Linked DNA regions of Coturnix japonica. The protein of the gene in region 1 binds, or shares a complex with, the protein of each later gene. Links are inferred from orthologs where the notes say so. Each region holds a gene or a part of one and is shown in the gene's direction. Other genes may lie near its edges.

Region 1 (10,057 bases):
GACAACAAGAAGAACTCACCCAGCACTTCAGACCACGAGGACAGATAGTGAGCCCTGCTTGATCTCAGCAGATGGGGAGCAAGAGAAGACGAGCTACCTCTGACATAATCGGGACGCAGAACATGGGAGCCTGCAAATAAATCACATCTCTGCATTACCTGGAAGCCAGCACTGTCATCGACAGCACGCACCGCATGGACAGCGCGATGGATGCAAGAAGTCACGGCTCTGAGCAGTGAGCTCGTGGCTGTCAGCTCACAAAGAGGCACCAGAGGCACAGCCCTGTGCCTGCTGAGAGCCCTGGAACCGGTTCAGCCCTTTCCAGATCAGCTGAGAGCAGCTCCATCCCCTTAGTAACCACATTCCTGTAGTGATGGGCTGCTCTTGGCCACCCCTCATCCTCCTCCTGGCCAGACCAGGGGAAACTCAGTCTCTCCTGGAGAGGCACCTGCCCCAAACCCTGATGATCTGTGTGATTTCAGTGCCTCCTTTTTGCTAGAAAAAGACACCTGCGTCACGACTCAGTCTTACAAATGGGACCCAGAGAGGGCTGGATGCACTCAGCAGCAGCTGAAGGCAGTTCAGCAGAGGGAGGAAGTGGGAGTTAGCAGGGAGAGGAAAGCCAGCAGCACCTGCCAGCAGCTTCACTCCATGGCTGCTGAGAGCACACAGAGCCCACAGCAGCACCACGTGCGCTCTTCTCTTCCTTTTGGCAAACAGATGGGGTTAACTCCAGCAAGAAGGGGGAATTCAGAGAGGGCAGCAAACAAACATCAGTGATCTCTGAGAGGCTGATGTAAATCCTGAGCTTTGTTGCCAAGTGAGCACCTGACCCCGATGGGGCATTCCCTGCCCCCACCTTCACACTGGGTTAGGATCCAGCCCTGGATGTTCCACGTATTCTACACCCTGTGAGGTGGGCAGGGCTGGTGTGGGGAGAGCAAGGGGGAGAGGAAGGGGGTCAGGCCATCAGTGCACAACTTTCTATGGAGGAAACTTCTGTGCTTAGAAACATAAAACTCTCCTGCCCATGTAAAGCAAATACACTGTTTCTAAGCGCCGTAGCCCCGAGCTGCGGCCCCAGCTGGGACCTGGTCCCAACAAACCTATTTCTGTCCCGTGTTACGTGATCCCAATGGATCTATTCCTGTCCCTCTGTTACGCAGCCCCAACAAACCTTGTTACAGAGCTCAGTGCACTGTCAGCTGCTGGAGTTACCGAGGGGTAAAGCAGCATTAAAGGCTGTTTGCAATGGAGTCTGTCGGCACTTTTAAGGCCACAGAGACCACCCGAGCCCTGTGGTTTAATGATGGAGGGTTTGATTTGCACACAGGGACGCTCGTCCCTCCCTGCAGACGGGCAGGAGCCAAATGAACCAAAGCGACGGATCCAAGAAACAAGAGGAAAGAAAAACCCAGAAGGAACGGGGGGAATCGGGGTGATTTTACCACACACAACATTGAGGCCTAATGGAACAACACACCCCAAGGAGCCGAGGGTTTGAAGGGCAAAGTGCACCAGCTTCAGTCCGAGCCCAGCTCCGGCGATGATCGAAAGTGAAGTTCAAAGGGAAAATAATCACAAATAAACCACGATTTTAACGTGTGGATCCTCAGCCCAACGCGACCCGCGGCCCCTCAGCCGCGCTCAGCCAGGCCCGAAGCGTCGCCCCCTCACGCACTCACCCGCTGCCGGCTTCGCGCACCACGCAGTATAGCACACGCGGATTGGCTGATAGGAACTGAGGGTACTCCTCTCAGCCAATCAGCACAGCCCGCTTTGGAATCTGTCCCACCCCTCGGGTAGAATGAGCCTGGGGTGCGGCAAAGGCTGATGGGAATTGTAGTTCCCGCCCACGCCCGGCCCGGCCCCCTCCCTCCCGCTCGGACTACCGCTCCCGGCATGCCCCGCGGCGCGGCGCCCAGTCACAGCGCGCTTTGTTGTGGGGGTGCGGCAGCCGCCGAGGCCCCGTTTCAAGATGGCGGACGACAGTGAGACAGCAGCGAGGCGGCCGCCGGCGAAGCCTCACCGGCCGTCAGCGGAGGAGAACGAGCACGAGCACTGCAGCGACTGCGAGAACGAAGCGGAGCGCGGCTCCAAGCGCGGGTGAGCGCGGGGCGGGGGGGGACGGCGGGGAGCATTGAGGTGGGCAGCGGCCGGGAAGTCGGCTCCGCTCCGCCCCTCGCGCGCGCTGATTGGCTGATAGATAATATCGCGTGGTGCGATTGCACGAGACGGCTGTCAATCGGCGTGTGGGCGGGCCGTTTGGCGTCCATTCACTCCTATGTGTGTGAGCGTGTGTTGGGGCTGCGGCCGGGACCGGGCCTGGATGGGGGCGGGGGAGAATGGGGGCTTTAAATGAGCTGTCATTGAGCTGCCACCTTCACATCGGGTGTTGGAGGCTATAACGAGCGTATTGAGGAACTCACACCTTCAATCGGGGTGTTGGGGCATTAACCGAGGCTGTAAATGAATTTGACTAACATCACATCGGTGTAGTTGGGGCTATAACGCGAACTGTGCACTGAGCTTCATCACCATATTCACATCGGGGTGTTGGGGCATTAACCGAGCTGTGCATTGAGCTCACACCTTCACATCGGGGTGTTGGGCTATAACGAGCTGTGCATATGAAGATCACACCATTCAATATCGGGGTGTTGGGGCTATACCGAGCTGTATATTGAGCTCACACCTTCACATCGGGGTGTTGGGGCTGTAACCGAGCTGTATATTGAGCTCACACCTTCACATCGGGGTGTTGGGGCTGTAACCGAAGCTGTGCATTGAGAGCTTCACACTTCACACGGGGTTTGGGGCTGATTAAGACGAGCGTGCACTGAGCTCACAGACGCTTCACCAATCGGGGTGTGTTGGGAAGCTATAACGGAGGCTGTGCACTGAGCTTCACACCTTCACATTGTAGGTGTTGGGGCATTAACCGAGCTGTGCACTGAGCTCACACCTTCACATCGGGGTGTTGGGGCATTAACCGAGCTGTGCACTGAGCTCACACCTTCACATCGGGGTGCTGGGGATTAAACCGAGCTTGGCGATTGACTCACACACACTTCACATCGGCGGTGTTGGGGTGTAACCGAGCTGTTATTGAGCTCACACCCTTCAACACCGGGTGTGGGGTGTAAAGGAGCTGTACATTGAGCTCACACCTTCACATGGGTGTTGGGGCTATAACCGAGCTGTGCATTGAGCTCACACCTTCACATCGGGGTGTTGGGGACTATAAGATGCTTGTGCACTGAGCTCAACTTCCACATCGGGGCTCTGGGCTGTAACGAGCTAGTGCACATAGAGCTCACACCTTCACATCAGGGTGTTGGGAGCTAATAAAACGAGCTGTGCATTTGTAGCTCACACCTTCAACATCGGGGTGTTGGGGCTATAACTCGAGCCTGTGAGCACTGGCTCACACCTTCACATCGGGGTGCAATGGGCTTGATAACGCGAGAAGCTGTGCACTGAGCTCACACCTTCACATCGGGTGTTGGGGCTATAACCGAGCTGTGCACTGAGCTCACACCTTCACATCGGGGTGTTGGGGCTGTAACCGAGCTGTGCATTGAGCTCACACCATTCACACTGTTTGTGCCTCCGTGTGGCACATCGCAGCCACAGCAGCACCCACCTGCATCGCACCAAGGGCTTTTCAATCCCCATCTCAGAGATCTTGCATGTCAGGCAATAAATGCCATGCAGGATGTATTGCAGGAGCTGTTTTTTGCACTACAGATGTGCAGATCTGTTCTATTTGCCTCCTGGGTGTGGCATCGTGTCTCACGTCGTGTCTCCTTTGAATGGGTTGAGCCGTGCTTGGGAAGGATCCTCTTTTCCTCTTCTCTTTCATGATGAGGTTTGCAGGATCCAGAGCCAAGCACAGAGCACACATGGCATTCACTCAGTGCTGCTGTGCCTTCTCATTGTGGTTTCCCAGTACAGCTGTTGAGATGAATGGTGGCTGATGGGTGGGGTAGGAAGCGTTGGGTGCTGCTGAGCAAATCAGAGTCATTAAGATTGGAGGAGTCCTCTAAGATCGTCCAGTCCAACCCATCCCCACCATGCCCACTCATGGAGCATTAAGGCTGGAATAGACCTCTAAGATCATCTTGTCACACCTCAACCCATCCCCACCATGCCCACTCATGGAGCATTAAGGCTGGAAAAGACCTCTAAGATCATCCAGTCCAACCCCAGCCCATCCCCACCATGTCCGCTCATGGAATATTAAGGCTGGAAAAGACCTCTAAGATCATCCAGTCCAATCCCATCCCCACCATGTCCCCTCATGGAATGTTAAGGCTGGAATAGACCTCTAAGATCATCTCGTCCAACCCCAGCCCATCCCCACCATGCCTACTCAAGGAACATTAAGGCTGGAATAGAACTCTAAGATCATCCAGTCCAACCCCAACCCCACCGTGCCCCCTCATGGAATGTTAAGGCTGGAATAGACCTCTAAGATCATCCAGTCACACCTCAACCCATCCTGATGTCCTCTAACCATATCCCCCAGTGCCACATCTGTAAGGTGAGCACCGTTCCCAGCACAGAGCTCACAGGGGCAGTGTTTGGAGCAGTGCTCGGGGCTGTCCCTCTGCCAGTGCCCAGCTTGTGCTCACAGCCATCAGCTCTTGGCTCAGGGCTGTAGAACCCAGCACTATCACAGAGCGATAGCAGCACTTCCTTTCCTTTTAAGGACAGGAAAGAGGAATTGAGATCCCCCGCCCTGGTTCAGTGTCAGCGCTGGGAAGTGCCTCTCTGTGTTGAAGCATAGAGTTTGTTTTCCAACACAGAGTCACACTTTCATGTTTATTCTCATTTCCTTTATGTGAAAGCGGCGTTTTGTTGCTGTTTCTGGTTTGCTGCAGAACACATCGCAGTGATGATGTGTTGCTGCCCTGCGCTGTGACGTCCCTGCCATCTGCCCGCCCCCACAGCCTAATGAGATTACCTGCACCCAATTAGCCACGCACGTTCGTCAGGAGGATTTTCCAGTGTCTAAATGTGGGACAGACACGGCTCCTCATCTGTCACCTCTCTGATTTCTCAGTGTGGAGGAGATGGAATCATGGTTTGATGGGACCTCAATGCAATTCCACCTCCCCCCACCATGGGCTGGTGGTCGGGCTGCTTAGGGCCCATCCAGCCTGGCCTTTGGCACCTGTGAAACCTGCCCAGGTCCCTCTGGATGGAGTCCCTTCTGTGGCTGCCTCAGATCACCTCATCTTGTGCCTTAACATCTCTTTCAAGAGTCGTTAAGGTTGGAGAAGACCTCCAGAATCACCAGGTCACACCACAACCCATCCTTGTTATGTCGGTAACCCACGTCCCCAAGTGCTAAGATAGTTCTGGTAGTGCAGCCTTTCTCCACCCATGTTATCTGTCAGAGCAGCTCTTGGGTTGACGAGATAGGAGAGGAAAAAGGCTGTGAGCACATCTTGGGGAGCCATGGGCTCTGGGCAGAGCTGTCTGTTCTCTGACAGATGGGATGGAGAGCAGCCCTGTGTGCTGCGATTGGGGATGTTTGCAGTTCTGCAGGGCACGAGGGTTAATTTGGGGAGTTAGAGGGGATTGGGCACAGTATTTGTTTTGCTAAATGGACTTTAAAATAGACAACACCTCTAACCATTGCTATTTGCTTTGCTAAGTGGGTTTAAAATTGAAAATCCCTCTAAGAGTGGCTGTGAGTCCCAAGGACTCAGGCGTAGCTCCCATTCACCACATTACATTTCCTCCATGCTTTGCCTGATGGGCTGCATTCATTTCCCAGCTGAAATCTGCTTATGCAGAACACTCAGCTCTGATTTCCTCCTGCTCACGACATCTTCACTCATAAATCAAGGAGGATTTTCTCCCATCTTCTACCTGTTGGTTAAATGATGCCACTTGGGCTGAACTCATTAGCAGGAGTTTGGACTGGAGCAGTGCTGTGTGGGTCCCTGGACTGAGGATGTATCCACACGCAGAGATCTCTTGGCTTTGGGGTTTCTCCTGGTGTGGAAGCTGCTGGAGCCTCTAACCACGGGGGCGGGGAGCACTTGGTCCTGGCCACCAGCTCAGGTGGCTCCAATGCATCCATTGGTACCAATGTCAACCTGCTGGTCCTCTGCTGGAGGACGAGGGAAGGAAGGGGGCTGTGAGGTCAGGGCTTAAAACAGGGAGCTTTTATTTTCCTTTGAGTGTTTCAGAGACCGTGTAAGTGCCCTCAAAATAAAAAACACAACACCAAAACCAAACCAGCCCAAAAGCCGCAATGATGTTTCTTTTGTTCCTTAGTGGCTTGAGTCCAGCGAATGACAGCGGAGCCAAAAAGAAGAAAAAGAAACCAAAACGGAAGAAAGAAAAAGGAGATCAGCCTGACCAGGCTCAGGACCAGCCAATGAAGGTGAGCTTCTCACACCTTTCAGGGCAATCAGAATGATCCCATTGCTGACACTGCCTGCTGTTGTATTCAGGCACTTGGCTGCTTGAAAGCCTTCAGATTTAAGAGTGATTTGCTGGCTCGGTGCATGGGAATTCCCACTGCTGCGGGAGGTGTTGCTGCAGGGTGAATGCAGCCCGGAGCTGGGTATCAAAGCCAGCTCCACTGAAAGGCTCAGACTGGCGCCTCTCTTCCCGAAATCAGAGCAGGGATGGCAGGGAACGGCCGCTCTGTGCCACCGAGCCAGGCTGCCAGCACAACAAACCCATTTTCCTACTCTTGGATGACATTCCTTGGTGTTGATTTTTGCTTAATTAACATAAGAACAGCAGCAGGGGCTGTCTGCCCCTCTTGGCTTTGCCCTGGACTAGCAGCCAGGAGTGCGGGGAGTGCAGGATTTGTCTGTACCCTATTGGTACCCCCAGCCCTCCTAACAAGGAGCTGAAACAGGCCTACAAGCTCAGCATCCTCATTTTGTCCTTTCTCTTTTTACCCTCAGGTCAACTCTCTGCCCGCTGAGAGGATCCAGGAGATTCAGAAAGCCATTGAGCTCTTCTCTGTAGGTCAGGGCCCTGCCAAAACCATGGAGGAGGCCAGCAAGCGCAGCTATCAGTTCTGGGACACGCAACCGGTGCCCAAGCTCGGTACGTGCCCTGTAGCCCCCAGGCTGCCCCAATGAGCCCTCACAGGAGATGGGAGCATACTATGCAGGTTTTTCTGACGTTGCTGTGGCTGTAGATTGTCTGCATGATCTTCATGGGGCAGTTCCCAGCCCCTCTTGCTGCAGACACCGCGTTTGATTCCCTTTTCACGCTGTCAGCACCTGTCCGAGGCTTTGTTTGGTCTCAAAGGGCTGTTTGCTGGAAGTGATACCCAGCTTTGGTCTCTTTTTGTGCTTGTGCTGGGGAATCATTGTGGAATACAGCAGGCAGGGGGTTACCGGGGCAGCAAAGCCTGGTTTGTGTTTGCCCCTTTCACCAGAGGATCCTGACGTGGCAAACATCGCTTCTGTGCCTGTAAACCCCATTAGGTGGGAGGTACAGTGTGAAAGGGGTGGGGAAGGAGAGGCACCAAACAGCCACAGTGCACCAAACTGCTGACTGTGCTCGGGCTGACTGCCCCGCTGTCCATCTCAGTGTTCTATGCATCTCGCTGTCCATCTCGGTGTTACATGCACAAGGCTGTTTAGGGTCTGGTAGCACGCAGCTTTTTGGGGCCAGATTTCAGATCTCTGCTCAAAGCAGAGTGTGCTGCCATGAATGAGCACTTCCAGAAGCAGAGGTGTGATGGGAGCAGTTCTTGCAGTGGGCTTTGTTGGCCGCCTCATTGCCTGGAAACTTTCAGTGCCATTTGAAGGTGACTCCTCATCACTGGGTTGTGCTTCTCTTGACAGCCACACTGCTGTGGCTGCTTTGCCTGAGGTGCAGAGTGCCCAGACAAGGTGCCATGGGGATGGTCAGACAGGATGCCGTGGGGATGGAGGTAACGTTCATAGTTCCCTGCTCTCTTTGGCAGGAGAAGTGGTGAACACCCACGGCCCTGTTGAACCAGACAAGGACAACATCCGCCAGGAGCCGTACACTTTGCCCCAGGGCTTCACCTGGGATGCGCTGGACCTTGGGGACAGAGGCGTGGTGAGTAGGGGCAGCTTAGTGTGTGAGTCCCCATCACGTGCTTCAGTGCTTGGACAGCTGGAAGTGATTTTTGGAGTGCTGAAGACACAGCAGAAGTGTTGTGGGTCCTGGTTCAGGGCTGCTGGCTACAGCAGTTGAACGGTGCTGGTTGAATAACTCACTTGACCTCCTCGATCTCTCCTTTAGCTGAAGGAGCTGTACACGCTGCTGAACGAGAACTATGTGGAAGATGATGACAACATGTTCCGCTTCGACTACTCTCCTGAGTTCCTGCTGTGGTGAGTGGCAGAGCAGCCGCAGAGCAGGAGGTGCGGGATGCTGCGGGCTTAACCCCGGCCATGGCACTGCAGCTGCTTCCCAGTGACCCAGAGCTGCAGGATGAAGGTGACTGCCAAGTAACGCTGCCAGCAGTAGCACTTGGAGACCTGTTACAGCTGAGCTGCTGTTTCCTCGGGGCGTTCATGAATTGAGGAATGCAGATTTCCTCCTGTGTCACCAGTGGCCTTGGCCAGAAGGTGCAGGAATGCCTCCCAGTGTTCCTGCACTGTCACTTTGTGGTTGCCTCTTTCCTCAAGCCTGGGTGTCAACTGGGTGTCAAACTGAGCAGGTTTTGGGGTGTCCCAGGGAGGTTGGAGGCAGCAGGAAGTGCTGTGTAGGACCTTGGGTGTGCTGTGACCACCAATGTGTGTCTCTTCTCCAGGGCACTGCGTCCCCCAGGCTGGCTGCCCCAGTGGCACTGCGGGGTCAGAGTGGTCTCCAGCAAGAAGCTGGTTGGGTTTATCAGTGCGATTCCTGCCACCATCCACATCTACGAGACGTAAGTGCTGCTCAGATGAGTTTCTCATCCTGTCCCTTGGTGGCATTCCAGGGCGATGGCCTTCAGCCATGGAGATGCTTGGCTGCTTGGAGGATGAGGCAGGGGATATTTAGGATGGGCTGCAAGGATGCCATGTATCTAACAGCCCTGAGGGCTGTTTTCACCACTAGTGTGAGGAGCTCTGCCCTACAGAAATCCCCCAGGGCTGGTTGGAGACCATATTTCCTGGGAAAACCTTGTGTGGCAGCTTCAAGGAGAGCTCTCCAAAGCCAGGCCTTGCCCTTTGGCCTCTCATGGGACCTGTCTGTGTCTCAGGGGAGCTGGAATTAAATTGCTCAGGGCGTTGGACCCCGGTCAGCACAGTCAGGTCTCACGCTCTGCATTATTTCCTTCCTCAGAGAGAAGAAGATGGTGGAGATAAACTTCCTGTGTGTCCACAAAAAGCTGCGCTCAAAACGAGTGGCTCCGGTTCTGATCCGCGAGATCACACGGAGGGTTCACCTGGAGGGGATCTTTCAGGCTGTTTACACAGCAGGAGTGGTGCTGCCAAAGCCTGTGGGGACATGCAGGTGAGCTCCAGTTCTCTGAATAGATTTAGGACCGATGAAAAGCTCTGCAGAGCGCCCCTTGCCGTGCTGTGTAGGATGGGGATGGCTGCACTTATTGGTGTGGGGCTCCCTGGGGCAGCACACGTCAACCCCAGCCCAGGTTTCTCCTCCCTGCAGTGTCCTTCAGGGATTATTCGAGCAGCTTTGCTTAAGCTGCTCCTTTATCACAAGGCAGGAGGCTCCACTGCACACGCTCTTGTTTTTCTCTCTGGCAACTCCTGGCCAACCCCTTTGCAGTGTTCTTGCTTGCCCTCTTATGGCAGCTTTGAGAACCTTATGCTCCTTCTGGCTGCCCACGAACAATCTCCCCCAGCAGATGTGTTTGTGCAGGTACTGGCACCGCTCCCTGAATCCTCGGAAACTCATTGAGGTCAAATTCTCCCACCTGAGCAGGAACATGACTATGCAACGCACCATGAAGCTTTACCGATTGCCCGAGGTGGGTGAGCACACACAGACCTCAGCGGAGGCTGAATCCTCTGCATGGAGAACTGGCATTGGCTTATGTAGTAAATGGCTTTATCAAGCCACTAGGTTTTATTGAATCATTGCTTATTTT
Region 2 (10,119 bases), on another chromosome or scaffold:
CAGGGTGCAGTCCATCTGGCCACGTGGACTTGTAAGCATCCAGCTTTTGAAGCAAGCCCAAAATCACCTCGTTGTGGATTATGCAGGGCTTATTCTGTTCCCCATCTATCTACAAGTGCAATAGGATGTGTGCCCAGGGAGTAACAAGTCTTACTATTAATGACTGAGGCAAAGAGGGCATGAGGAGAGGCCTACTGGAGGTGGCAGAGGACTACCCAGCTGCAGGACACAACCCTGTGGAGATGGCTGCGGGATCAAGGAGCCCAGCCTTACCCAGTGACCAGACCTGTCACACTCCTCCATCTGTCCCAGGCCTCAGGCACCCTACCACACCTTACCTCTACACTTGTTGAGGTGATTCCTGCCAGAAGGCTCTTCGTTTCTATAGTTAAGTCAGCATGTGCTGAACCACCATGCAGTATTACCATAGAGGAAGATCGTGATGAATCAGCCTGGTAAATTCGTTCTTGATTATCTGTAGCTGGAAAAAGAAGATGGTCATTGTCTCTACAGCTCACTGCAGTCACCTGAAAGGAGGATGCTGCTGAGGAAGGTGTTGGTCTCTTCTCTTGGTGACAATTGATAGGAAGTGAGGTGGCACTGGGGAGGTTCAGGCTGAATGTCAGGAAGAATTTGTTCCCAGAAGGGGTGGCCAGGCATTGGGACAGGCTGCCCAGGGAGGTGGTGGAGTCCCAGTCCCTGGAGGTATTTAAGGGACATGTGGCTGTGGTCCTGAAGGACAAAGTGTAAAAGTGGATTTGCAGTGTTAGGTGGATGGTTGGACTTGATGAAATGGGACTTTTCCAAGCAAATTGCAGCCATCCTACCTTCACCCAGTCTTCCCCATCCCACCAGCTACATATCACACAGGTGCACCACCGCATGCTCCCAGATTTACCACAGCTTCCATGTATGAATCGGACACACACTCAGCACCCATGAGGATCCCCTCCCTCCACAAGAGTGCCAGTGAGGACTGTGACCGTACCTGAGACATCTTCCTTGCCCTCTAGTGCAGCTGAACCACCACCTCGGACTGCAACAGCAACACAAAGCAGAGGAGAGCTCAGGTTCCCAGTCCCATCAGGGGAAGCATTCCCCCACATGCTCCCAGATTTACCACAGCTTCCATGTATGAATAAGACACACACTCAGCACCCATGTGGATTCCCTCCCTCCACAAGAGTGCCAGTGAGGACTGTGATCGTACCTGAGACATCTTCCTTGCCCTCTAGTGCAGCTGAACCACCACCTCGCGCTGCAACAGCAACACAGAGCAGAGGAGAGGTAAGGATCCCGGTCCCATCAGGGGAAGCATTCCCCCACATCCATTTCCCTTTCTGCCCTCCCCTCCCAGTTCTTCCCTCCCATGGCACAGGGCTCCCTGGTTGACGGTCCTCTTGCCCCTTCCCCTTGGCAGCCCGAGGCCAGCCTGCTCCCATGGCCACTCCCCGAATCTGGGCTGGTACTTACACTTATGAAATTGTTGTATGCTGCTGTTGGAGGTAATGTTGTAATGTCGCAGAGTTTGTTCATTCATCAGCCGCTGTCCATCATGAACCAGTCTTGACTGAGAAGGGTAGAAACAGCTATCCATTGCAAATAGCTTCATATTCAGGTCCAGCACCGTGTCGTCCAAAGATACAGGCACAGAAATATTTTTTCCTAACTCAGACGTCACAGAGATGGGGAATGTGGAGCTGCTCGTGGTCTCCATTGTCTCTGCTTTGAGACTTTCAGCCACACAGCGATGTCTGTGGATGAAGGTGCACAAGATTCTCACGGCCACAGACGGCCATCCAGGAACAGGCGGCTGCCCACAATTCTTCCGCGTATGTCACTTCCCAAGAAAGTGAAAGCACGGAGAGACTTCAGGTAATCAATGCACGTCATCACTCCCTCCTCTGGCCTCTGTGCGTCAGGGCAGGGAGATGGGGAGGCAGGGAATGCAGAGGGACAGTGAAGCAGGGAGGCAGCGCTTCTTGCGGAGGGCATGGCTTTCATTAGGACTCCTTCAGGCCCTTCTGTGTGTCACCATGGAGAGCCCAGGTCCATACCCCATACTGTCCTAATTTGCCCCAGTGTGCTTGGCCAGAGAATTATGGGGACACACGTCGTGGCCCTGGTTCATCTATGTCCCATGCTGTTGACTGCAGGCACAGCAGGGCCACAGGGTGGCCATGGTTCTATGGGTGCATGGCTCCAGGACACCACGCATCCATGATTCTATAGTTCTATGGTGCTGTGATTTCATGGCTCTGTGATTCCACAGCTCAGTGGTTCCATGATTCCATGTTTCCATGGTTCTGTGATCAGGAGGCCACTGGCATGCTGCTGCTGGCCATGTGTGTCTGTGAGCAGAGAGCATCTCACCTTCAAAACGGGCTCAGCTGAAGGAAGGAGAGTGCCATGCCTGTCAGCTAGGCAGGAGTTGGACCTCCCCACCTCCCCTCCTGCAGCTGGGGGGTGGAAATTGAGCCCAGGACCATGGGACATGTGTAAGTAAAGCTGCATGAGAAGACAGTCAGCACCCAAGACAATGTCAAGGTTGTATGATGAGTGTGAATACCAGTGGTAATCCAGCACAGTTTGCATTTAGGGGAGACAACTCTTTGCTCTGCACTCAAGGTGGTCTCAAAAATCACAGTGTGAGAACAATGTCTATCTGGGGCATGTGCTAAGAAAAGGGACATAGAGATGCTGACACATCCCCAAACAGGGCATGATGGATAAGGAAAGCAGTTTGCTGCAGAAAATAGAAAGCATGCCAGGCAGGAATGGGAACAGATCCCTGTCTCCAAAGTGAGGGAAAAAATGTGAATGCAGAAGGATGATGTAAAATAAGTGATAGGGGAAAGAGTGGCATTGGCTATTTCCAGCAAAAAGGAATAATTCTGCCCAGGCAGCAGATGGTGATCCTCCCCACCTGGTTTGACAGCAGTGGACCAAAAATTGAGCACCAAGGATTAGTGGACCTTTGCCCCGAGCATCTCAGTCCATATGACAGTGTGTGGCTGTGGTGCCTGCACTGCAGCCTCAGGCTGCTGAGTCCAGAGGAGCTCCTAAGAGCTGGGTGGAAAGGCAGAGATCTTGTTGGTGACAGTGGCCTCCTGATCGTAGAACCATGGAAACATGGAACCACTGAGCTGTGGAACCACAGAGCCATGAAACCACGGAACCATGGAATCATGGAACCATAGAAGCATGGAACCAGAAAATCCAAGCTGGAAGAGACCCACAAGGATCATGGAACGGTTTGACTTGGAAGGGACCTTTAAAGGCCATCTGGCCCAACTCTCCTGTGGTGAACAGGGACATCCACAGCTCCATCAGGTGTTCAGAGCCGTGTCCAGCCTGATCTTGAATATCTCTAGGGACGGAACATCCACCACATCTCTGGGCAACCAGTGCCAGTGTTTCACTACCCTTATTGGACTTCCAGTACCTGAAAGGGTCCTACAGGAAAGCTGAGGAGGAACTTTTTTTTAAAGGCATGTAGAGACACAACAAGGAGAGAAGGTTTTAAACTGAGAGAGGGCAGATGTAGACTAGATATTAGGAAGAAATTCTTTACTGGGAGGGTTGTGAGACACTGGAACAGGTTGCCCAGCGAGGTTGTGGATGCCCCATCCCTGGAAGTGTTCAAGGCCAGGCTGGATGGGGCTGTGAGCAGCCTGGTCAGTGGTAGGTGTCCCTGCCAATAGCAGGGGGTTGGAACTGGATGATCTTAAAGGTCCCTTCCAACACAAACCATTCTGTGATTCTCTGATTGTAAAAAAAAAAAAAAACAAAAAACCAACAACAAAACCTTTTTCCTTATATCCAGTCTTCTTTGTTTGAAACCATTTCCCCTTGTCCTATCACAACAGACCCTGCTAAAGAGTCCATCACAGAGTCCAACTCCTGGCTTCACATTAGGACCACCCAGACCCGATATCTACCAGCATCGTCCAAACGCTCCCTGCTCCCGCAGCCCATGGGAGCAGTTCCATGCCCACCTCCCTCTGGGGCAGAACCATTCCCTACCCCACCACTGACCCTCCCGTTACGCGGCTCCGCGCCGTTCCCTGTCGCTGTCACCCGTTCCTGCGGACAGACGGACACCCGCACCCTCCCGCATCTCCTCCGCCGGTGCATGCGCACTGCCCGCTCCGTGCCATGGTGCCCGGCCGAGCCGCTCCGCACCGCTCCGCTCCGCTCGGTGCCCGCAGGTAGCGGAGCTCCGACCCGCCCCGACCCGCCCCGACCCGCCCGGGGGCGGCCGCGCTCCCTCCTGCCGCCGCGATGCCGCGGTGTCGCGGTGCCGAGCCGGGAGCTGCCCAGGTGAGTGCGGGGCTGCGGCTCCGGGAGGAGCATCCCGCGGGGAAAACGGGGGGTACCGGGCTGCCGGTACCGCTCTGTGTCCGGGTCCCGGTACCGGCTTTGCGGGAGCACCGCGGGTGGTTCGGAACCGCAGCGAGCGCACGGGGTGTGATAGCACCAAGCAAGCGGGCCGCGGTGATGCGGGAAGAAAGCTGCGTTTGTCAGAGCTGGAACAGCAGAACGTTCAGCGTACCCTGCAAGTTTGTTCGTTCCTATTCGGGGAGCGCAGCCCAGCTGGGCGCACAGCCGCGGTGGGGCCGGCAAGGTGCGAGCGGTGCGGTCTGTGCGTGCGGGTGTGATGTGCCTCTGGGTGAGAGAATGGGGGGAGCGGGGAGACGTGCGGTCCCCTCTGGAAGTGAACGTCACATTCCCAGGGTGATGCGTGGAAGTAGAAATGTGGAGGTGTTGTGCTTGGCTGTCAGGCTTGGAAAAAGCTCCCGTGATGAACTCCTGCACTGCTTCGGTAGCAAATACGCTTGTCCCTTGTGCAGTGGTGAAATGGTGATGGTGGCAAGCAGGACTTCCCTCTAACACAGCACTGGAACCTCTTTTCGTTGTGAGACACCTGAAGTTGTGCATCCAGCAGCCCACACACAACCTGCGCTGCTTTTCAGCATTTTAGCATTTATGGGAGCACCTTTGAGATCTGGACCAAATCTCTTGTTTAATTATTAATGTCAGAACATTTTCCATCCAGCTTGCAGAGGACACGTTGGAGCGGTGGCGATGAGAACGCTGCTGAATGAGCCTTTAACCTGGAGCCTCTAAACTGCTGAAGCAGCAGCCGGTGGAACAGTAGTGGCTAATTGCAGCCTGACATTGCTGCCGCACTCCTCCTGGAGCCAGCAGGGCACGTTTGTGGCAGCTTTGCAGCTGGTGATGTGCAGTGGGATGGGGATCCCTCCCAGTTTGTGCACCAGGCTGTGCGTTGCAGTGTGATGGTTTCGGGTGCAGCATCCTGGAGATGGGATGGGACCCGTGGCACAGACGTGGGCATTTCCCTCCCCAGTTGTGCTGTAGGGCTGCTCTATGTGAGTGCGTGCATCCTGGGTAGCACGGCTCCTGAAAGAAGTGCTTCCTGACATCCAGGATGGAGATCCATCTGTTTTCACCCTCGGGCTGTCTCAGAAGCCCAAGTTTTGACCTGCTCTAAAAACGCTGTCCCAGCTCTGCTCTGTGGGACTCTGCTGTCCTCCTGGTGGCTCTTTCCAACCCCTACACTGTCCCCGGGTCAGGGCTTGGGCTGACAACATGTCATGCACAGTGTGGGGTGCTGGGAGTGCCTTGGGACCCCCGAGGCTCTGTCCACACCTGGGCTGTGTTGAAGTAATGCCCTCAGAGGAGAGTTCTGCTTTCCTTGGCAGCACTGCCTGTGTTATTCTGGAGATGGAGCCAAGAGCCAGCCCTGAGACTTTTCAGCTCAGAGGAGTGTTAGCGTTGCTACACCAGGCAGGGGGGGGGGTCTGTCAGAGTGGGGTGACCACTGTGCAGCTCTGGCTCACGTGAGAGCAGATGGTCCCTCTGGTGTCATATACTGGATCTGTGAAGCTGGCTTAGTTGGAGAGCAGTGATGTCCAGAACTCAGCAAGCAGAGGGCTGCCAGCAGGTCTGGGGGCTTTTGGCACTGAGCTTCGTAGGGAAGCCCAGCACTTGGCTCTGCTCTCAGCCTGTGGCATGAGAGGGATGTGTTCCTGCCTCCTCCATTGTCCCTATATTCTCTGTTTGCAGCAGAAATGCTCTGTGCCCCAGGACACAGCCAGTGGGATGGGATGGGATGGGATGGGATGGGATGGGATGGGATGGGATGGGATGGGATGGGATGGGATGGGATGCAGTGGAGGTCACCACCATGGTGGGGTTGTGCTCCATTCTGTTTGCAGGGTGTGCCCATAACAAGTCTCCTGCTGGAGCTGCTCAGCGGTTCCCACTGTGCTCTGTGTGAAAGACAATATTGTGCACATACAGAGAGCTGGCAAGGAAGGAACTCTGCAGTAGATATGGAGAGCTTTGGGATCAAGGATTGTTTTTTTCCACAGCAGGGACCAGAGCCAGAGCCAGCTCTTTCCTGCAAGTGGAGATGGTGCCATCAGGTGCCCTGAGCACAGTCTGCAAACCCAAATCTCTCTCCCTAGCAAAGGCACATGGTCCTGTTTGCACTTTAGAGCCGACAGTTTTGGGACTGAGGACAGATTCATCCTGGATTCCCAGCTGCAGGGAGGGGATGGCAAACCTCACCCCTGGACTCATCCAGCAGGTCCTTCTTGTCCATTTTTTCTTGTGCTGGAGGCCCAGAGCAGAATGCAGCTCTCCAGACTGGGTCATAGAAGGGCAGACTAGAGGGGGACAATCACCTCCATCATCCTGCTGGCCATGCTTCTTTTGCTGCAACCCAGGATGCAGTTGGCTTTCTGGGCTGCAAATGGGCATTGTAGGCTTACATTCAGCTTTTCATTAGCCAACACCATCAAGTTCTTCTTCACCTGTATGTGTGTTTGGGATTGCCCCAGCCCAGGTGCAGGACTTTGCAGTCCTTGAGTCAGAAACAGGGGTTTGTTTGCAAACAACGGGACAGAAATGCAATAAAAAGACAATCTTATTTTATGCAGAGGCAGTTAAAAAATAGCATCTCCTGTTGAGCTTGGAGCTCCAGGACATTCCCTGTGAATATCTGTGCTACAAGTGATTGAGAGCTAGATAAACAAAACTGCCACAGGGAATAGTGCTTGAGGGATCAAGGGCACAGCTGGATTGTTGGTTCTGCAAAGCAGGGAATCATTGACCTGAAATGGCTCAGCCAGGTGAGGGGCCGTGCTCAGAGCCATGGAGAGTGGCAAAGTACTCCAGAAGTGATAGACCTGAGAGCAAAAGATCTTTCCCAGGCTCTGCATCTGACCAGTGGGTGTTGTGAGATTGTCTTGGTGCTGGTATCACTTTGAACGTCTTGACTTCCCATTTCTTAGGAGCTCTACATCTGGTGGAAGGGGTGTGGATGAGGCACCTGGGATGGCCTCCAGCTGCCATGAGTGGATATCCATGTTCTTTGTCATCCATTGGATCTCGGCCTTTTCTGCTTATAGATGTCTGAGAGGTGTGGTACCCATGGGGATCTCCAGGTGTTTGTGGGACTTCCGACCTCACCGAGGTCCACTGTTTTAAGCTTAGAGTAGGGTTACCTTGCATTGCTCAGAGATTGGGAGATCATGAGATGACCTGACATCCAGAGACCTTCTAACCAGGATCCTGTGTCTCTACAATGGCACTTGGCTGTGGGGCTCCCAGATGGGAGTTTCACCCTGTTGCTTGTGGGGCTGAAATGGTGCTCATGGTGCTTGCTGTGAATGGCTGTAGGACCCTGACCATGGGCACGTCAGGCATCTATCAACCTCCCATCCTCTCCCAAGGGTCAGCCCAGGAACAGCCCATCCCTCCAAAGGGCCCTTGGGGACCATCAGTAGGGGAACTACAAAGGGGATTGCTTCAGATTGCTGCCTTGAAGGCTCAAACAAAGCATTCACTTCATTCAAATGGCCGATACTCATGGGCAGGCACCCTACGAGCCCCTCAGAAACCAGCCAGACCGGCTGGAAAGGAGTCCTGCAGCCTTGGGCTGTGCATTGGCATCTCTGCAGGGTTGGGAATCTTTGCATGGTATCTTTTATTGCTTTACAGTAAACTGTTGGCCTATATCACTGAGACATCAACAGCTGAGACTCTCTCTCATACAGAACTGTTTTCCATTTCTTCCTGTGAGTTTTGGCAAAGGTCCACAGAGCAGCACAGCAGATACTGCATGTGACTTTGCTGCTGTATTTTTCCCAAATCTTCTGCATTTTTGTGCCTCCTTTCTTGACTTTTTATTTATTTATTTTTCGGCATTTACTGTTGCGTAAGCGTTGGCATGCTGCTCTCCTTGGATGCTCTCACCCTTGCCACTCAGTGACTTGGCTTTTCCCTGTTCCATTCCCTCTGCAAATGAGCTTGTCTGGGAGCTCTGCACAAACCTGATGGCTCTTTGAGGACTGGATGTAGGTCTCATAGCACATTCCTGGCTCATCCACAGGGACCTGCACAGGCTTGAGAGGTGAGCCCATAGGAACGTCAGATGTGCCCCATCTCCAGTGTTGCTCCAGGCCATGGATGAGCTCTGGGCAGCCTGGTCTGGTGGGGGCAGCCAGCCCAGGGCAGGGGTTGGGGCTGGGGGCTGTAAGGTCCCTTCTAGCCCAGCCATTCTTGGAAATGGTTAATTCTAGCCTTCCCAAAGGCAGGGCTTCAGAAAGTTATTAAAGCCTGGAGATGAACCAAGTGACGCTGGTGATTTAAAACTTCAGAAGAGTTTTTTCTGCCCCATGCAGGTGCTGAAGGACGCCTGAGGCCCAGTGCCAGTGGGCGGCTGCCATGCTAGACTGTGCCCATCCACTCGCTGCTCTGCCCACCATCCCTGCTGTGTGCCCAGCACGGTGCTGCTCTGCTCACCATGGGAGGATGCTTCTCCAAGCCCAAGCCAGGTGAGATGGAAGGATGAGGGGATGTAGGTCAACGGCAGCTCCACGGGCACCGCTGGGGAATGTTAATTCTGTGCTCCTGCAGGGAGGATTACTGCCTGCTAATCCCCTGAATTCCTGTGCTCTGCCTTCAGCTGGAGTCCTGTGGGGCTGTGGGGCCGTGTGGGGCACAGGAGGTTCTGTTGGAGGTTCTGGCATGTGCCCAGCCCTGATTCAATGCAATGCGTCCAGAAGCTGCTGGGACATCTCCTATCTCACCCCACAAACTCCTTTAGCACTTATTGGGGCCAGGTGGGCTCCTACTGTTGGGCAGCCTGAGGTGTTGGTGTGATATGGGTCATGTCTGTGAGCCATCAAGTGTCCCTAGCTGGCCATCCTGGCCTTGCAAGGCACAGGCACACAGGTTTTATTGAGACACAAAGAGAAAATGTAAGGTTGGTTTCTGCTGTGTGCAGAGGTTATTTCAGTGGTCATCACAATGCCCAAGGAACACGGCACTGCACACTGTGGGCAAGTTTCTATCCTCCCACTCACTGTAAGTCTTCCCCTAGTGAGGAACCACTCTGGCCTTCCTTGTTAAAAAGGCAGAGCACACCTAGGAATAAATGCCCCCATTGAATAAACTTGCAACAAAGTCCGCTGGCAGCTCCGCTTTATTTTGTATACCATCAGCAAGATTGTGTTTAATCTTGGGCTGATGCAGGAATAAAAGCGCTCTGCGGGCGCATTTCCTGAGCTGCATATTTTTGTGTCAAGCTGTATTTGCATAGCAGGGCAAGCTCTAAGAATGCCACCCTGTAATGGAACACTCCTTCTGCAGCTCTGTTTCTGATTAGCAGCCTTCAGGAGGTTTTGACAGCAGTTCCTCAGCCCCTTGTTAGCACACACTGCAATGCTTCACCCCGGTGCTTATAAAACCTCCGAGTGCACTGAGATAAACAGATACGGATTTGCAGATGCTGATGGTGCTGGCAAATGTTTCACAACCTGTTTGTGACGCTTGCTTTCCATGCTGCACTCACATTTCTCTATGCCAGAAAGACCTTTTGATGGGCAGAAAACCAGAGCAGGAGACCCGCAGCACCAAACAACTGCATGCACTGATATAAATATCAGCATTTAATTCAGAGCTTGCGTTCAAGTAGTGACGTAATCTCTTATCTCCAATGCTGCAGTCGTGTGACCCCAGACTCCATTCCGGAGCTTGGTTCCCAGTCTCTGCATAACTATGTTGGTGCTTGTGAGGGTGTGGGGG
Region 3 (10,154 bases), on another chromosome or scaffold:
GCCGGGAGGCGGCCCCGCCGAGCCCCGGCTCCGCCCGCTGCAGCGCTGGGCAGCCCCGCTCCGGTCCCTCCCCCGGCCCGGGGGCGGCTCGTCCCCCGCCCCGCCCGGCCCCGCCGTCTGCCTCAGTTTCCCCCAGGCGGGACCGGTAGCCCTCGGCCCGGACCGACCCGGGACCGCTCCCCCCCGCTGGCAACGGCAGACGGGGCCCGTTCCGGTGAGACCCCCGGCGGGTGCGTGGCAGCGGTGACATCTCACCCATCAGGGCTTCGTGCAGCCCCGGCGTGTCTCCGGGCTCTAAGTACAGAGCAAATGAGCATTAGATGAGCTGTTCGAATTAGCTGTGCCTTTGGGTTAACGAAGCCATCGGCGCTCTGATTTATGGTAATCTGCTGGAGGAATCGGCTCAGCCACCACACCGCGTGGCCTTGTGTGGGCATCGGTTGGGCCTCAGCGAGCCCTGTGCACCCTCATTGCAGCCATAAACGTGTCTGACCCCGCAGTGTGTCAGGCAGCATCCCTCAGGCTCTGCCTGGTACTGATATCCCTCCTGCACTGCTGGGGGTGCGGAGCGGGTGGTGGTCTTCCAGGAGCATCCACTTGGTCCCTATGGTTATGCCAAGCATAATCCCTATGGGACTGAAAAGGAACAGCTCTATCTCCCTGCCCTGCACATGGTTAGCACTGCTTTCCCCTCCACATCCTCCTGCTGGAGCCGTCCCATCCCAGCAGTGAGCCCCAGCTGTTCCCCTCACCCAGCACAGCCCGGTTCCTGCAGGAGGGCTGTGATGAGTTCTGGTATTTTTCCAGAAGCTGAAGGCTGCTAATGCCACAGTCCCCTGTTTTTTCCTTCCCTCCCTTTCCAAATATAGGAACAACATTTGCTCCTTCCAACATCTGCCACCATTGGTGGGTTCCGCTGCTTTATCCCTTTGTCCCCCCTCCCCTCCCACCATCGGGGAGGAATTAGGGGTGCTCTGTCATGCTGCCATGGCTCTGTTTCCTCCTCAGCCTCCCCAGTCCCAGCGCTGCAACATTCAAATCACGCGACACTCATCATGTCTTCAGTGCAGCAATTAAGTCACAGCTCTAATTAAGCATTTAGGCACACAACGCACTCATGTCCCATCTCCATCCCCAGACGGACACCAGGGGATGTGGCCATCCCTGTTCTGCTCCATCTCGGGCCCACAGGAGCTGCAGGCTGCGGCGCTGCAGAGCGGAGGGGCATCGTCCATGGGGAGCTGCACGTCTCGGGGTGCACATCCCGGAGGATGCTGAGCATGGGGCAGCCCCCGCCTCCTGATGCTGCAGCCCGGCAAAGGGCTCAGCACATCGCCGGGGCTGGAGCTGCGCCCCGGGGCCACGCCGGGCACCGCCACGGGCCTTTGCTGCCACCTGCCGGTACCCGGTACCGGAACCGCCCCGCGCCCACACGTGACCGCCGGTTCTTAGCCACGGGGGAGGAGCCGGGGAACCGGCGGCTCGGAGGAGCGGGGCGTGAAATCCCCACCCGAACACACGGAGGTGCCACTCAGGACCCGGAGCTCCCGAGCCGCCCCGGAGCGGGGCGAGGAACCGCCAGAGGGAGCCCGAGGGACGCGAGGCGGTGGCACTGGTGGTACTGGTGGTACTGGTGGTACTGGTGGTTCTAGTGGTTCTGGTGGTTCTGGTTGTTCTGGTTGTTCTGGTGGTGGTCGTCGCGGTGTTGGTGGTACTGGTGGTTGAACACCTCCGTCCCGTGGGAGCTGTGGGGGGTTAAGGATGGATCCAAGCCCGCGCCCCTCTCGGTGCTCTCCCCTCACCCCGCTGGGTTGGCAGCTGCATCTGGCCCTGCCATGGCGTGTGCTGCAGCCCCCGAGCTGTCCAGGCCAGGTGAGTGCTGTGTGCTCTGGGACAGCACCAGGACAAGGGGATATGGGGATATGGGATGGGGACGTGGGGATATGGGGACATGGAGACATGGGATGAAGCCACTCTGTTATGAAACGTCCCTGCATCCCCATGGCTCTAAGTCAAGATTTAGTGAGCGAGCAGCTCCTGATCCAGATGAGATTGGGCATCACAAAGGGCTTTGTATTCCAGGAAGCCTATTAGAGATTTAAATTATACAAATGGGCTTTTTACCAAAGATCCTCATTATCTGGGCATTTGTATTTAATCCTCAGCTATCCCTGCAGCCCCAACCCCGCACTTTGCTCACCTTCACCGCGTCCTCCAGGGCTGAACAGGGTGTGGGGATACAGCCGAGCAATGATGGGGTCCTGCCTGCTCTTCCTCACAGCATCCCACAGGGCACACAGCAGGGACTGCTGGGGATGGAGGAATGGGGAATGGAGGGGAGGGGTTGGGACCATTGACCCCCAGCCCAGGGACCTTGTACACTGCAGAGGGTCTGATGGTACAGCGTGGTCCTACCCGCACCCCGCATTATCCTCTCCCTCCTGTGATCCATTTCAGTGTGGGGGATTAGGTGGTTTTAGGGCCGGGTTTGAGTCAAATGGGATGCTTTCAAATCATCCTGCATCAGTTGTGCCCTCTGTCACTCATTCAGAGGGGGATTAAAATAGATATGAAGATTATTGGAGGGGAAAAGGCACCCCCACCTGCAGGGAGCTGCCAGCAGCACCCAGCACACAGGGAGCCTTTACATCCCACAGCCATATTTCCCCATCTTCCTCACCTTTCTGCTCACACCAAAGCCCCATTTCCAGTCCTATCTTTTAGTCCCTTCCTTTCACCTTTCTTGCATGTCCTGCTGCTTTCACCACCATTTCCTTGTTACCAGCCCAGGCTGATCCCACAGACCCCTTGAGCTCAGTGCTCACAGCTATTAAAAAGGAGAGAAAAACACTAAGAAACCAACTTTGCTTTTATTATCAGCAATTGCTTCTTCCTGCAAGGTCCCCGCGTGGTGGCAGATGCGTCCCACTGCAGGGAAGTGGAGCCCCAACTCCCCCCTGGCCCCTTCCCCATACCCCCAAAACAGAGTCAGGGCTGTGGGTTTAATCACTTTATGCATATTTATTTGTGTAATTCAGAGACGGGTTCCTCTTCCTCCCATCTGCCCTTACCATCTGCTCCCAACGGTGTTTCGGAACAATCCCAGGCTTTGCCAATTGATGGAGCAGTGCAGGAAGGCAGGAAAACCCGTGGGGATGTCGCTCCATCTGGGCAGCAGCTGGCTCTGTGGGTGCCTTTTCCTGGTGTAGGGGTGGCTGCTGGAGGCCACTTTGCTCTATCTTCTGAGTGGTGACCCCTGACACGTGCCTGGATCCCAACCCAGAAGTTCCCTTTTTAACCCCAGAGCACCTGGCTGGGCACCTCTTGGGCCAGCAGGGTGGTGGGAGCTGCCCTTGGCCTCCAATTCCTCCATCTCTTTGGGGTTCTGGAGCTGCAGCTCCTTCTGAGGGGATTGGGGGGGTTGGCAGATGTGCTGGGAGGGGTGATGGAGAGAGTGGTGCCCCAAAGAGAGGGCTGTGCAACCCCATCCCATCCACCAAGGAGTAGAATTGCACCCTGAGTGACAGCTGAGTGGGGTTTTTTTTCCAAAAACGCCCTTGAAAACCTCCCCAGGACCACATTAAAGTGCCCACCTGGGGCTGCAGGCACCTGAGCCACTGATGGGCTCCCAGCACCAGCCCAGCCCAGTGCCAGCCCTCGCAAGAGCAGCCCAAAGCTGTGGCTTCGGCAGTGCCTGAGGGGGGTGCGGGGCTTCGAGGCGGGTGGGGCAGCCCGGGCCGGGCGGGGGCTGACTGCAGCCGGTGCCCGTCGTGCCCCCCCCGCGCCCCCCCTGGTGCCGGTGCCGCCCCGTAGCCCCGCGCTGCGGCGGGCACAGCCGGAGGGCGCTCCCCGTTGGCGCACAGAGGCGGCATTGGAGGCTCTTCCCCGGGCAGGTAGGGGGCGGCGGGACCGGGGGAAACCGGGGGGAGATGGGGGGAACGGGGACAGCATCAGCCTCAGCCCTGCGGGTGCGTCCCTCTTTGCCGGCGGCTGCAGAGCCCCCGCCCCGGGGCTTTCCCGGTCCGCCCGTACCCCGCGGCACCTTCCTGCGGGTGTCCCCCGGTGCGTCCCACCGCGGGGGCACCATCCCTTGGAGGGGGGGTCCCTGTAGTCCCCTCCCTGGGGGGAGTTCCCTGTGGATCCCTCCTGCCCCAGATGTATCTTCCCTGGGGGTCCCCTCCGTCCTTCTCCCCAGCTGTGCCCATTTTCAGAGACTCTCTGCACAAAGCTCTGATGCTGAGCTGCAACGTTGCACAGTAGAGGAGATGGAGAGGGGCTGGGGGTCCCGTAGTCCTTGGAGGGAGTCCCTATGGGGCTCTTTTTGTCACAGGGAATCCTGTGCACCTTTATCTCAATGGAAGGGGGTTGGGGCAGTGGTACTCTGGGCACTGCAGACACCCCCGCCCCTCCCAGCCCTCACTGGGGTCCCCACTGGGCACTCTGGTGCAGGGAGGGGGCTATGGCTGAAAGGGGGCACTGTGGCCCCCGGCTCTCCCCGGAGCTGCAGAGCTGTCCGGAGGCACCAAACACAAACGGAGACAGTGGAGGCACCAAAAATAACCCCCCCCCTGAGGGAGCTGACCCAGATCCATTCAGATCTGCACCGGAGCCCTTCACCGGGCTGAATCCCCTCCTCAGCTCTGCTCTGCCTTCCTGATGCCACCTATATATCACCCAGTATATTATGCAAATGACCCATAAGGGCGTATTACCCAAAGGGCGGGGGCTGGCGCTGCGTTGCGTTGTCCCTGGGGCTGCCACCAGAGGCTCAGAGGGGACAGCGGGATGGAGGGATCAGCAGCGGTTCACACCTCCGTGTGGGCGCCTGGGGGCTGCCAGGGAGCGCTGCCCCATCCCTCCCCATTTCTGTAGCACTCAGGGACCCGAGCAGGGCCAGGCGCTCTTCCCTTGGGGTCGGCGTGCCCAGCAGCATGGGGAAGCAGAACAGCAAACTGCGCCCCGAGATGCTCCAGGACCTGCGGGAAAACACCGAGTTCTCCGACCTGGAGCTGCAGGGCTGGTATAAAGGCTTCCTGAAGGACTGTCCCTCGGGCATCCTCAACGTGGAGGAGTTCAAGAAGATCTACGCCAACTTCTTCCCATATGGTGATGCCTCCAAGTTTGCTGAGCACGTCTTCCGCACCTTCGACACCAACGGCGACGGCACCATCGACTTCCGAGAGTTCATCATTGCACTGAGCGTCACCTCCCGCGGGAAGCTGGAGCAGAAGCTGAAGTGGGCATTCAGCATGTACGACCTGGATGGCAACGGCTACATCAGCAGGGAGGAGATGCTGGAGATCGTGCAGGTACGTGGTGCCCTCCGTGGTCCTGGGGGCTGTGGTGGCCTTTCCTGTGCATCCCCTTTGCCCAGAGCCCAGCCTGGTGGCAGCAGTGTCAGAGAAGGAGCGATGAGGCTGATTTGGTGACATCTCACCGGGCACTGCAGGAGCAGCTCCCATCCACCTCCTGCAAGGTGGCTGCTGCCCTATCTGGGACCGGCCCTGGCAAAGGGAGCCCTCTGTCCCCATCCTCGGGTCGGTGGCAGTGAGCTCTGTCCCCATCAGCCTTGTCCCCATCCCTGCGTCCTTTTCCCAGGCCATCTACAAAATGGTCTCCTCCGTCATGAATATGCCAGAAGATGAATCGACTCCGGAGAAAAGAACGGAAAAAATCTTCCGACAGATGGATACTAATAATGATGGTAAATGAGAGGGGAAGGAGGGGATTAAGGGAAAGGTCTCATGGTTAAATCCGGGGGTCTTAGAGGGAGCTGTGTGCTCACTGATTAAATGCTGCGCGGTCGGGGGGAGCCCTGGCAGTGAGGGGCTCGGGGTGCACACAGTGCTGCTGGTCACACATGGGGGCTCACCCCGGGCAGCTGGTGGGTTGGGGGTGTCCCCAGGAGGTCTCCGGTCCCCGTGGCCCCGTGTTCCTGGGTGGGGTGGAAGCTGCTGCACTGAGCTGTGTCTCCCCGCAGGCAAACTGTCTCTGGAGGAGTTCATCAAAGGTGCCAAGAGCGATCCATCCATCGTGCGCCTGCTGCAGTGTGACCCCAGCGGTGCCGGGCAGCTCTGAGCCCCACCACGGTCCCCACAGCCCCCACCGCCCCCTCCTGCCACCACTACTCGTCCCTGCTGTCCCCACCTCCATGTCCCCATGGGCAGAGCACCAGGGGTGTGGTGCAGCATGGCAGAGCCACTGCTGCTCCTCTGATTGGCACAGGGACACGGCCAAGGGGATGAACACAGCCCCCCCAGCACCCCCCAGCATGCAGACACTGCCACACCAGCCCCCTCCCCACAGCCAGAGCATACATGGGTCCATGGGAAGGGGCTGTGCTTTCAGTCTTTTAATACCTGCAAAATAAAGTGTGTGTCAGTGCAGTCAGCAGCGGGGAAAGGCTTTCCTATAAGCTCCGAATCCAACCTCCCTTGCAGCAGTACCAGGGCAACAGTGATGGGCTCACATCCTGGGCAGCAGTGAGCAGCATCCAGTGCTTAGTGCTGCCCCATGGCTGCGCCGTGCTGGGGGGTGGGCACTGGGATGGGGATGGGTCCTGTGGGAGGGGGCTGCAAGGAGACCTGGGGATGGAGAGCTTTGGGTGGACAAACCCTGCCCCCACCCAGCAGGGGGACACAGAGCAGGATGGCCAACATGACACATAGAGCTGCAGGTGGGAGCAGAGGAGCACTGAGAGGTGAGGGCAGAACACTGCAGGGAGCAGAGCATGGGGCCATGGGTGAGGGCTCTGCTGATGAAGGTGAGGAGCCCAATGATGAGGAAGATGAAGACCCGTTGGTTGCTGCTGGGATCACGGTGGTCTGGGGAGGAGAGGGGCTGAACACTGCAGCTGGATAATGCCGGGTGATGGGGACAGCCCCGGGGATGTGCCACCCTGGATGGACGAGGCAGTGCAGGGGCAGCCTGGTGTGCAAACTGCTGCCCCTCGAGGAGGTGATACAGGCTGAACCTGTATCTCCAGAACCAGGCTTTCTGCCCAACCTGTGGTGGTGCTTACAGGCACCCAAAGGCACCACAGGGTGGACTGCACAAAGGATGGGCTGGATGCGAGGCGAAGGACAACCAGAGTCTTTATTCAAATGGTCCTTCGGACGATGGCAGACGTACAGACACACGTACATATTTACACTCGTACACACCTCACAGAGCCTGAACCAATAAATTAAAACAAAAAGAGGGCGGGGGTTGGGGGGGCATTTTCCGTTTTCTTTTTTTGTTGTGTAAGAAACAGCAGCTCCCCGAGGCGAGGGGGGGGCTGTGAGAAGCCACAGACACAGCCCTGCCCCAGCAGATGCAATGACAGCAGTGTGCTTTAGGGCACGAGGGCACCTCACACCCGGGCTTCGATGCACTCCAGCGTGACCATCTCGTCCAGCCTGCAGCCCTCGGCGTGGGCACAGTGGCTCAGGTGGGCACTTGGGCTCTCAGCACCTCTGGCACTGGGGGTCTGCGGGCAGGGGGCCGCGCTGTGGGAGCGGGGGGAGCCGCACTCGTCCGAGGTGAGGTCGGGCACGTCGTCTGACTGGCTGTCTGAGCTCTCCAGGTCGCTCCGTATGCTCTCAGGCTGTGCCAGGGTGATGTCCCAGGTTTTGCTGGCAACGCAGTCCTTTTGCTCACAGCTTTGGTGTTTGCACGTCTGCTCCTGCTCACCGTCCTCCTCTTCCTCATCCTCCTCCCCGTCCTCCTCCTCCTCCTCTTCCTCATTCTCTGCCATTTGGGTGTGGACGTGCAGTGAGTCCTCTGTGCTGCTGCCGCTGGCCAGCTGGTAGTGGCTCGGTTTGGCCTCGATGTCCACCTGGATCTCCATGTTATTGCACTCCCTGCAGAAACAAGCACCCCTGCATCACTTCTGCTGCAGCCCAGGGCATCCACGGGCACCGCAGCGCAGGAGGTTTGTGCTTCCATTCCAGTGCCGGCACAGCACCAATGCAGCCAGCAGCCACCAGGGAGCAGCCTGCTGCACCCCACCACCCCCTGCAGAGCAGACATTTCCAGGACACCCACAGCACACACCTGTCCTGCGGGTTGTAGGAGCTGATGATGGAACCGGCCATGGCCCGTGTGCTGGCGTTGTCACTGATGGCCCCCAGGCTGACAGAGTCCTTGGGGAAAATCTCCTTCTGGACGTCTGCCTGCACCTCCAGCCTGCGGGAAGGGAGAGGGTTGCTCAGAAATGCCTCAGGTGGTCCCCAGGGGGCACCAAACATTCTCTGTGTGCCATGAGGTGGATGATGTGGGCGCCCCAACCCTGGAGGTGTTCAAGGCCAGGTTGGATGGAGCCCTGCGCAGTCTGAGCTGCTGGGGGGCACCCAGCCCACAGTGGTGGTTGGAGCTGGATGGTCTTTAAGGTCCTCTCCAACCCAAACCATTCTATGTTTCTGTGACAGGTCAGCAAAGGGCTCAGTGCTGGCCCAGGTTGGCATAGCGGTGTTCAACACCGATGGATCCCCCCGTTTAGTTTAATTTTTGGCTCCATTTACTGAAATCCATTTAGTTTCCCATGGCAAAGTTGAAGCAGTGTTTGTATCCATGACTCATGTAATTCCTGAGAAGAACAGCTTTCCACAGAAGCAGCACTGAGCCATGGCTCTATCTTGGCTGCCATATCAACACATCTCCAATTACTCAGCAGTCAAGCTGAGAAGTAAACCATCATGTAAAACCGTGGTGTAACCTCCCAACTTGGAAAGCAGAACCCCACATAAAGCTGCTCAGCCAGCACAGCCCTGGGAACTCCAGCCCCTTCTCCTGCCCCATTCACCTGCTGTATTTCCCTTTGCCTCCTGAGAGCACACCGCCGCTCAACGTGCCGCCCGACAGCGCTGCAAAGCTGGCTGTCTCACTGTAGTTGCTCTGCATCACACTGAGCCCATCCGTGGGGCTCCCACTGGTGCTCAGCACACTGGTCAGCCCCTCGATGCTGCTTTCGCCAATGCTGGGGTTCTTCAGGGCTCGCCAGGCATCAGCCACTGTGGGGAGGAACAGCAGGGAGTCAGGGAAATTCTTCACTCAGAGGACAACAAGGCATTGGTGGAGCCCAGAGCTGTGGGTGCCCCATCCCTGGAGGTGCCCAAGGCCACAGATGGGCCCTGGGCAGCCTGAGCTGGGGGCAGCCAGCCCAGGGCAGGGGTTGGGACTGGATGATCTTTAAGGTCCCTTCCAACCCAAGCCATGCTATGATTCTATAATTCTATCTCCTCCTAGCTAAACCGAAGTAGGCTGATGTTCAGATCTGGGAGTTATCCAGTCCCCCCTCACCTCAATACAAGAGTCAGTGAGAGGGTCCCGCTTTGCCCCTTCCCCTCCCCCTTGTCACACTACCTGTGATTGGTCCATCATCTTCATCAAACTCGATCTTCACGCCCTTCCCATTGGCAGTGCTGACCCCGCAGCCCCCACCACGGCACAGCGAGATGGGCACGACACCGTAGACATAAGCCAGCATGATGGGGACCCCGATACCTGCAGAGTGAAGAGGAGCTGAAGGCTGAGCTCTGCTGGGCAGACTCTCTGGGTTGCGACTTCCAGCCATGCTCATGCAAGAAGGGAACCATGCAGTGCCCACCTACCTACACTGACAGCAGCGATGACTGGAGAGGCAATGACAGACAAGGTGACCCCTCCAGTAATGGCCAAATTCCTCTTGTGCTTGGAGGTTTTCTTCCCTTCATATCTGCTGTGGATCTGAGGGAAGGACAGGCACCAGGTGAGAATGCAGACACCAGGAGACACTATGAGCCCCCGCCATGGGGTGTGCCAAAAGGGTTCCTCCTCCCAGCCTGGGGTGGGGCACAGTGTGACATCTCAGGGGATTCAGCCATCAGCCGCTGCCTCCTCTCCCCACACAAAGCCCAGGAGATAAGACAGGGCTCAGAAAAGATAACTGAATTTGGGTTCTATGAAGAGACCCACCCTCCCCAAGAGCCCTAATTGCTGCTCAGATGCCTTGAGCACAGAACATGGAGAACGCCCCGAGCTCGGATCCCTCTGCTCCCACCGCTTGCTTTGCCATCCTTACCTTTCTCCCAACATAGACAGGGATGCCAATGACCATGGCAGGAATGGCAATGCCAGCAATGAGGGAGATGCCCACAGGAGCGCCGATCAGCGTGCCCAGCTGCCAGAGAATC

The links.
Region 2: the proteins of NMT1 (region 1) and AIFM3 are in contact, whole or in part, in a crystal structure (PDB 6SJZ), measured with the Homo sapiens proteins. The link is inferred for Coturnix japonica from reciprocal best matches to the Homo sapiens genes NMT1 and AIFM3. Residues at the interface, in NP_066565.1 of Homo sapiens: Tyr180, Val181, Glu182, Asp183, Asp184, Asp185, Phe188, Arg189, Phe190, Asn246, Thr282, Ala283, Gly284, Tyr296, His298, Phe311, Tyr401, Ser405, Ile469, Gly470, Asp471, Asn473, Leu474, Leu495, Gln496; in NP_001373743.1 of Homo sapiens: Gly2, Cys4, Phe5, Ser6, Lys7, Pro8.
Region 3: the proteins of NMT1 (region 1) and HPCA are in contact, whole or in part, in a crystal structure (PDB 7OWM), measured with the Homo sapiens proteins. The link is inferred for Coturnix japonica from reciprocal best matches to the Homo sapiens genes NMT1 and HPCA. Residues at the interface, in NP_066565.1 of Homo sapiens: Tyr180, Val181, Glu182, Asp183, Asp184, Asp185, Met187, Phe188, Arg189, Phe190, Tyr192, Ile245, Asn246, Phe247, Thr282, Ala283, Gly284, Tyr296, His298, Ser300, Lys310, Phe311, Ser312, His313, Tyr401, Leu403, Ser405, Tyr420, Gly468, Ile469; in NP_002134.2 of Homo sapiens: Gly2, Lys3, Gln4, Asn5, Ser6, Lys7, Leu8, Arg9.

The regions. Positions count from the first base shown.
Region 1 is NC_029542.1:814,827-824,883, forward strand, and holds the start of NMT1 (glycylpeptide N-tetradecanoyltransferase 1), read left to right. Parts: upstream 1-1,925; 5' UTR 1,926-1,978; coding exon 1,979-2,106; intron 2,107-6,294; coding exon 6,295-6,403; intron 6,404-6,938; coding exon 6,939-7,083; intron 7,084-7,954; coding exon 7,955-8,073; intron 8,074-8,259; coding exon 8,260-8,351; intron 8,352-8,773; coding exon 8,774-8,890; intron 8,891-9,288; coding exon 9,289-9,459; intron 9,460-9,828; coding exon 9,829-9,937; intron 9,938-10,057.
Region 2 is NC_029530.1:8,945,254-8,955,372, forward strand, and holds the start of AIFM3 (apoptosis-inducing factor 3), read left to right. Parts: upstream 1-3,835; 5' UTR 3,836-4,323; intron 4,324-8,216; exon of another isoform or gene 8,217-8,443; intron 8,444-8,714; 5' UTR 8,715-8,836; coding exon 8,837-8,867; intron 8,868-10,119. Other genes in the region: NACHT, LRR and PYD domains-containing protein 1a-like, read right to left, coding at 339-481, 989-1,036, 1,211-1,258, 1,474-1,717. UniProt on the Homo sapiens protein: Induces apoptosis through a caspase dependent pathway. Reduces mitochondrial membrane potential.
Region 3 is NC_029538.1:4,643,549-4,653,702, forward strand, and holds HPCA (neuron-specific calcium-binding protein hippocalcin), read left to right. Parts: upstream 1-1,717; 5' UTR 1,718-1,835; coding exon 1,836-1,872; intron 1,873-3,785; exon of another isoform or gene 3,786-3,893; intron 3,894-4,872; coding exon 4,873-5,309; intron 5,310-5,598; coding exon 5,599-5,704; intron 5,705-5,980; coding exon 5,981-6,078; 3' UTR 6,079-6,390; downstream 6,391-10,154. Other genes in the region: E3 ubiquitin-protein ligase RNF19B, read right to left, coding at 7,355-7,844, 8,038-8,169, 8,786-8,993, 9,346-9,486, 9,594-9,708, 10,043-10,154. UniProt on the Homo sapiens protein: Calcium-binding protein that may play a role in the regulation of voltage-dependent calcium channels. May also play a role in cyclic-nucleotide-mediated signaling through the regulation of adenylate and guanylate cyclases.